Callithrix jacchus: one gene and its partner. The protein of the gene in region 1 purifies or fractionates together with the protein of each later gene. This does not show direct contact. Links are inferred from orthologs where the notes say so. Each region holds a gene or a part of one and is shown on either strand. Other genes may lie near its edges.

Region 1 (4,025 bases):
GTAGTGAGGTTGCCTTGCCCCTTGTAGGAGTCACTATTGGGTGGGATCCATAAAACCCTGCTATGATCTTCTCCTTTGCTGGGGAATGTGGGGAAACAGTTGCCAACCGAGTATGGAGGCCCTCTGTCAAAACTGAGACAGAAAGAAGCGCTATTTTAACATCTGGTCACAAGTAAATAATGTGGGTTATAATCTGGGCTGTAAGCTGGCCGTGGTGGCTCAGGCTTGTAATTCCAGGTGAGGTGAGCCGATCGCTCGTGCTCAGTTTGAGAGTAGTCTTGGTATAACACAGAAAGACCCTGTCTCCATACAAAAAAAATTTTAAAACCAGGCACCATGGCGCATGTCTGTATGTAATCCCACCTACTCAGAAGGTTGAGGCGGGAGAATCACTTGAACCCAGCAGGAAGAGGTTGCCGCGAGCTGAAATTGCGCCACTGCACTCCAGCTTGGGCAACAGGGCCAGACCCTGTCTCAAAGAAAAAAGAATCTGGGCTCTGACATTTATTTATTTACTCAACCTGTTTTTTTTTTTTTTTTTGAGACGGAGTCTTGCTCTGTCGCCCATGCTGGAATGGAGTGCAGTGGTCTGGTCTCAACTCATTGCAAACTCTGCCTCCAGGTTCAAGGGATTCCCGTGCCACAGCCTCCTGAGTAGCTGGGACTACAGGCACGCGCCACCATGCTCAGCCAGTTTTTTGTATTTTTAGTAGAGTCGGGTTTCACCGTGTTAACCAGGATGGTTTAGATCTCCTGACCTCGTGATCCAGTCGCCTCGGCCTCTGAAAGTGCTGGGATTACAGGCGTGAGCCCCCTCAGCCGGTTTATTTACTCAATCTTTGGCAAAAAAAAATGTGGCAAAGGTGGAATTATACATCATATAGCCTTTTGTGTCTTATGATACTCATTTTTGCATCTGAACGTTGAACCTATATAATATCTAGTTTGTGAGGACATCTGAATCACTTGGGATGGTAATCGGCACCCAATTTGCCTTCAAAAAAAAAATGTTTGCTTCATTTAAGTTGATTTATTTACGAAGGGCGAAAGGACACTGTGCAAGGGCGGGGAGGGTATGTGCGCCTGCGCTCTGCGCCTTCTAGAGGGCAGTCAAGGGCTTCCGGCTGACCCGAGCGGAGATCTCGCGAGACTGTCAGACGTATGGAGAGAGGCCTGGGAGGAAGATTGTGTTCTCGCGAGAACTCTGCCTTTGGGCCCTAGGTTTGTGTGGGGCCGAGTCTCAGTCCATCCAAGGTCCTTTCGGATCTCCCGGAGAGGCATTCGGACCTGGTAAGAACACCATGGGTCGTGCGGAGGCGCGATGACCGCTGACCCGCTGGGCTCGGCTTTGTCCGTCCCTTCGCGACCCGACCGACACCCAGCCCGGCCTGCGTTTTCCTCTCTTTCCCTCCACACGCCGGGCCCGGGCACCTCCTCCTGTCTGCCTGCCGGGCCCGGGCCGGCCTTCTCCCCTTCCCTCCACACGCCGGGCCCGGGCCTATCCTTTCCTCCTGGATCCTCCTCACACCCGGCCCCGGACACCTCCTGCTCCTCGCCGGCCTTCCCCTGGCTTTGGGTGTGACAGTTCCAAGTTTACAATTTCTCTCGCCTCTTGCCTGGGCCTCGGGCGAGGCGCTGTCTGTTTTGCTGTACGGGTCCGGAACATAATCCATTTCTAGCTTGTTAGGTGGAAATGCAAAGAAGATACTTGGTTTTTTGGTCTTTTGTGTGCCAAACACATACCGTCTCATTTAATTCTCCCAATTGCGAAAAGTAGCTTGATTATGTCTGTTTTACAGATGAGAAGAGAGAGGCTTGCTCATTCATTGTTTCATTCCACTAACAATCATTTATTTATTTATTTGGTGCCAGGATGTTGAGGATAGCAATGAAAAAAATGGACACACTCCTTATTCTCATGGAACTAAATTCTTGTGGTGGGAACAACGATAATAGTAATCTCACCTGGCACGGGATTTAATGTGGAATGATGTAATCAAGAATGGCGGAAGTAGAATGACAAAAGTCAGAGTGCTAGTATTTATCTGACCCCAGAGGCAGAACTTTTTTCCCTCTTAACCACACCTTTTTGTGTCACTTTTTTTTCCCCGCCCCCCGAGACGGAGTTTCGCTTGTTACCCAGGCTGGAGTGCAATGGCGCCATCTCGGCTCACTCAACCTCCGCCTCCTGGGTTCAGGCAATTCCTCTGCCTCAGACTCCTGAGTAGCTGGGATTACAGGCATGCGCCACCATGCCCAGCTAATTTTTTGTATTTTTAGTAGAGACAGGGTTTCACCATGTTGACCAGGATGGTCTCGATCTCTTGACCTCGTGATCCACCTGCCTCGGCCTCCCAAAGTGCTGGGATTACAGGCTTGAGCTACCGCGCCCGGCCCTCTTTTTTTTTTGAGATGGAGTTTTGCTCTTGTTGCCCAGGCTGGAGTGCAATAGCACAATCTTGGCTCATTACAACCTCCGCCTCCCAGGTTCAAGCGATTCTCCTGCCTCAGCCTCCTGAGTAGCTGGGATTACAGGCATGCACCACCATGCTTGGCTAATTTTGTATTTTTAGTAGAGACAGGGTTTCGCCATGTTGGACAGGCTGGTTTCGAACTCCTGACCTCTAGTGATCCACCCTCCTCGGCCTCCCAAAGTGCTGGAATTACAGGCATGAGCTGTGTCACTTTGTAATCAGAGTCGGGTTCACCATAGTAACTGCTTTTGGATAGACTTAGCTTTCCACCACGCACTTGGTAATTTCGAACTAAGTTTTAGAGACTCTCGAGTTACTTATTGGAATGAAGATGGCACAGGAAGTCATAGCCCATTTCTGTACCAAGATCCTACTGTGACATTTCCAAACTTTAAAGTGCGTGAGACCATTTGAGAAAGACTTACCCTAATGATGCAATGGAGGAAGATTCATTTGCTACCTTGTGGCTTAGGCAATTTAGTTGGTTTTCTCATTTGAAGATTTGCTAGCTTGCGGATTTGCTCAGATAAGTAAATGAGATAATATATGTAAAGTCTAGCACAATAACATTCCCTTCATATTCTCCTTTCCTCCGTTCCAGAGAGCCTTTGTCCTTGGGTCTCTAAAGAAAGTCCTACCCTTTGAAAGTTTTGTGATAATTTATATCTAATAAATCTCTACAGTTACATTATTACCTTTGTGCAAACAGGTATTTCAGAAATGGAAAACCACATTGAGCTATGGAAGGAAAGGAAGATGTGCTTCTCAAAGGGAGAGAATATATTTTAGAACTACATAGTACTCCTCACCTCTATTTTAATAAATCAGCATAGCTGTGCCAGAATCTCAGGAACCTGTGAAGGGGTTTCATAAAACTCCATAGGATACCCTGACACATATCCCTCCCCTGCCATTTGAGAGCCCCTAGTGTTTTATAATACTTTCCCTCATATAATATTAGCATTCAGAACCAGTCATTTCTACTGCTGATGGACTTTGAACTCAGTCTCTTATTTCAAAGAATTAGTATTTTCTGCCTGGTGAATCTATGATATAAATTCTCCTCTAGGTGGCAGGTTCACCATTGTGTTCTGAGGGACTATCACAGTAGTGTCAGTTTAGGTACTCAATACATAGTTGTTGGATGAATACGTAATACCTTAATACTTCATTACTCTTTCAGCATACCAGGTGTGGTTAGGGACTTTAGACTCAGATCTGGGATTAAATCTTGGCTCTTGTACTTGGAAGTTTGTGACTGTAGGTAATATATTTAACCTTGTCAAGCCTTTTTTTTTTTTTTTTAATTAATGGTGATGATAATAGCCATTTTAATGGTTTGTGAGGCTAAACGAGATAAGTTTTTTAAAAAAGCTTGGCACATAATAGACTATATGTAAATACTGACTGAATTCATTTACTCAATAACTAATTATTTAACACATACTATACAACAGTGAACAAAAAGACAAAGTCCCCGCCATGTGGAACTTACCTTCTAGTGTGTTTTCTGAAGGGAGATCAGAAAATAAATGGTTGCTACATGCCAGA
Region 2 (3,564 bases), on another chromosome or scaffold:
CTTTTTTTATTCTTTTTGGTATTTTTAGCAGAGACAGGGTTTCACCATGTTGGCCAGGCTGGTCTTCAACTCCTGACTTCAGATGACCGACCACCTTAGCCTCCCAAAGTGTTGGGATCACAGGTGTGAGCCACCACACCCGGCCATGGCACACAATATTTAAGAGATTGGCATGATGCCTGGCCTCACCATCACCCATTAAATAGGGCTGTTTCTGGCTACTGAGACCTAACAGATCTGTTTCCAGGGACCAACCTGAGTCTTAATTCAACTCCCTGAATTCTATCTCTACCATCTGGTAGGGACAGTTAACAGCCAGGCAAGCAGAGAACCCTCAGGCTCAACATAACCCACAGACAGCTCTTGTCTTAGAACAGATAAGAAAACCGGAGATGCAGCCAACGCCTTTTTCGCTGCCATCCCAATCCAGCCAGAAGCTTTATGAGAACAGATCCCACCTCATCTTCTGCACCAACCACACCACACACAAAACCACCAGCTGCTTCAAATAGCTTTATTTCCATTTGGTCCAAGGCTTGTAAGGGTAGTTAGAAAGCTGCCTAGTGGCTGGAGGGAGAGGCTTAGGCAGAAGCGCTGTTACTTTGCAAAGGCCCTTCCTAAGTGGCCGGGCTCAGCAGGCTCTTAGTCGTGCTTGAGAGTGAGCCTTTCAAAGAGATACTCGCCCAGCCCAGCCTGTGGGCTGGCCAGCCTGCGGAGGTTGGTCAGGTGGTCACCCATCTTCTTGATGATTTTCACTTCCTCATCTAGGAAGTGACTCTCCAGGAAGTCACAGAGCTGAGAGAAAAGAGGAAGAAATTAGAAACCCAGTCCCTGGAAAAGAGGGAGAGCTCCCAACTGCAGATTGAAATGTGACAGGTGTGAAATGTGGCTCTGAAGGAAATCTGCCCAAAGGGAGGCAAGGCTTGAGGGGTATGGTTGGGTAGCGATGGATGCAGTGGGTTCTTACATGGGGGTCCGTGCGGGCAGAACCCAGGGCATGAAGATCCAAAAGAGCCTGGTTCAGATTTTTCTCCAGGGCCATGGCGGCTTCCATGGCGTCCAGGGTTTTACCCCACTCATCTTGAGCCGGCTTCTATACAGGAGGGAAAGTGCTCAGAATACACACACCGGCACAAAGAACCAAAGTGACATTTCCCAAGAGTCGTTGGGGATCAAAAGGACATGTGACCCTTGTATTTATCACTCCGAACTCCGTCCTTTTTTTTTTTTTTAAATGGGGTTTCACCATGATGGCCAGGCTGGTGCCACCGCGCCCGGCTACTCCGTCCTATCTTTTACAACGACATCTATAGAAGACCACGCAGCGGTGTGGACTGCCGCATCATGGGGGCACTGCACGACGTGAGACACCATTTCCAGCTGTTAAGAACGCTTACAAAACCGAACTCAATCTCCCAGAAGCCCACGCGACATCTAAGCCCACAAGCCAAGGCGCCTCGCGCGCACGGACTGCTGGGAGATGTAGTCCATTACCCTCAAGCCAGTTACCTTGATGTCCTGAAAGAGAGCGCGGCCGCCACGCTGGTTTTGCATCTTCAGGAGACGCTCATAGCCCTCGCGTTTCTCCTCGGCCAATTCGCGGAAGAAGTGGCTCACGCCTTCCAGAGCTACATCATCGCGGTCGAAATAGTAGCCCTGCGGGAAGAGATGGAGGGAACAGTGGTTAGCGAGAGGCGAGGCCAGGGGGAACTCCGCCCTCTGTTTACCCGACCGGACAAAGAAAGCCGGCGCCTGCGCCGAGGGCCGGAGGTGCGCAGTTGGAGGAAATTAGGGCCAGGGGCGTCCCGGGGACTCACCAGAGAGAGGTAGGTGTAGGAGGCCTGCAGGTACACATTGACCAGGTGGTTGACGGCTGCCTCCACGTCGGTGGAATAATTCTGACGAATCTGGGAGCTCATGGTTGGTTGGCAAAAAGGAGCTAACCACAAAAACGGTGTTAGCAGGTTCCCAGAAGCAGGAGATGACCGAGAAGATGGTCCCGGAGGTTGCAACTGGAGAGGAAACTGGAGGGCGGTCGGAGGCTGGAAGAAAGAGTCCCCGGGATCTGTTCCGTCCAAACACTGTTGAAGCAAGAGACAGATCCGCGGGACCGCCGAACTGCTATGGGACGTGGCGAGGGCGGCTCCCTTTATAGTGCGCGGGCCCTCGGGGGCGGGGCGTTCGGGGCGGGCGATCGGCCAATCTGCGGTGGCAGGAGGCGGGACCGAAGGCCGTGCCTGACCAATCCGGAGCAGAAAGGAGTCTCAGCCCCCCGACCCGAAGCAGGGCGAAGTCACGCGCCTGTAACCCGAGGCTGTTGTGAAATGGGGGATGGGGGTTGGGGGCCCTGGGCCTGCTTCAGGGAAGTGAAGGGTTTCATGAGCGGGGTGAGGGTCCCTCTGGGAGCGAGAGTTGTATAGGAGCATTAAGAGCCCTGTGAACTGATGAGCCTGGGGTCCTGGGGTGTCTCGGGAAAGTAAGTCAGATTCTGGGGTTTCCGAGGGCATGGATTTTTTCTGGAACCTTGAGTCTGGAGAGGGGCACCTCAGAGGCGCAGAGAGGATCTCTAGTTGTCCTAGGTTTGCGCTGCGAGATAAGGGGGTCTCGGGATCCTTGGGAAGTTTGAAAGGCTGTAGGTGAACCCCTGGGGATCTCTGGGAGACGGAGGGTTGGGGGGACTGGAGCCCTGGGGTTTACAGAGGCGAGGGTTTACGATGCAAAGTCTGTATTTTTTTGGAGCCCTCCCAGAAGAGATCTTTACGTCTTTGAGATTCTCTGCAGCTTGGAAAGGGCAGTTGTTCTGGAGCCGTGGGGTTCACCCAGTGCTGGAAGCCCGGGAGGAGCATTGTACCAGGTGGGGTGACTTCTGGAACGGTGGACAGCCTTCTGGACCCTCCCAAGATTGGCTGGGCCTTTGGGGATACCTTGGAGCTCTTTCAGGGGCCCAGTGCTTTCCTGGGAGTGGACACAGGGAGGAATGCAATGTCTCTTTCGAGCTTTGCAGTGTCTCTGGGGCTGCATTTCCTGGGGGCTGTTTTGAAGCCAACCCCCTGGCCTCGAGAACTTTGAGAATTCTCCTTGGCCCTGAAACAATCTCTAAAGTTGCCCCAGTGTCTTGGCTGACATGTGCTCCTTCAGGCCCACCAAGAGAAGCTCTGCGTTGTGGACCGATGGACGAGACATCTGTCGTCGGCTGATGCGGATTTTTTACGTGGGCCTGGTCCATGCTGATTTCTGGGAGACAGTTGGCACAAACATTGACCCTACTTAAGCGCCCTGATCGAGGCAGCCGGTGCGCTGGGCAGGGAGCTGAAGCCACTGGGGTGTGGGGTGTGAGATCAGGTCCTGCCCTACCGAGAGCCGCTCCGAGCAGCCCCGGCGGGGCAGCCCCTGACCAAGGGGATCTGCAGATGCCCGGCCGGGCCGCTATCTGGGGTCCTTGTTGCAGGCAGCGGCTGCTGGGCTGCTGAGTCATGGTGAGCTCAGCGCAGGAAGGGGCTCCAAGGGGGACGGATGGGGGTGGGGCCACTGGCTGACCTCATCCCCTTGGCACTGCCTGACTTT

The links. The genes of interacting proteins can lie anywhere in the genome.
Region 2: the proteins of NCOA4 (region 1) and FTL purify together in Homo sapiens (co-immunoprecipitation; 3 studies listed by BioGRID and IntAct, counting the BioPlex papers as one, with this or other methods). This does not show direct contact. The link is inferred for Callithrix jacchus from reciprocal best matches to the Homo sapiens genes NCOA4 and FTL.

Annotation. Positions count from the first base shown.
Region 1 is NC_133513.1:38,764,564-38,768,588, forward strand, and holds the start of NCOA4 (nuclear receptor coactivator 4), read left to right. Parts: upstream 1-1,225; 5' UTR 1,226-1,290; intron 1,291-4,025. UniProt on the Homo sapiens protein: Cargo receptor for the autophagic turnover of the iron-binding ferritin complex, playing a central role in iron homeostasis. Acts as an adapter for delivery of ferritin to lysosomes and autophagic degradation of ferritin, a process named ferritinophagy.
Region 2 is NC_133523.1:42,797,853-42,801,416, reverse strand, and holds FTL (ferritin light chain), read right to left. Parts: upstream 2,124-3,564; 5' UTR 1,920-2,123; coding exon 1,818-1,919; intron 1,657-1,817; coding exon 1,510-1,656; intron 1,094-1,509; coding exon 968-1,093; intron 796-967; coding exon 643-795; 3' UTR 501-642; downstream 1-500.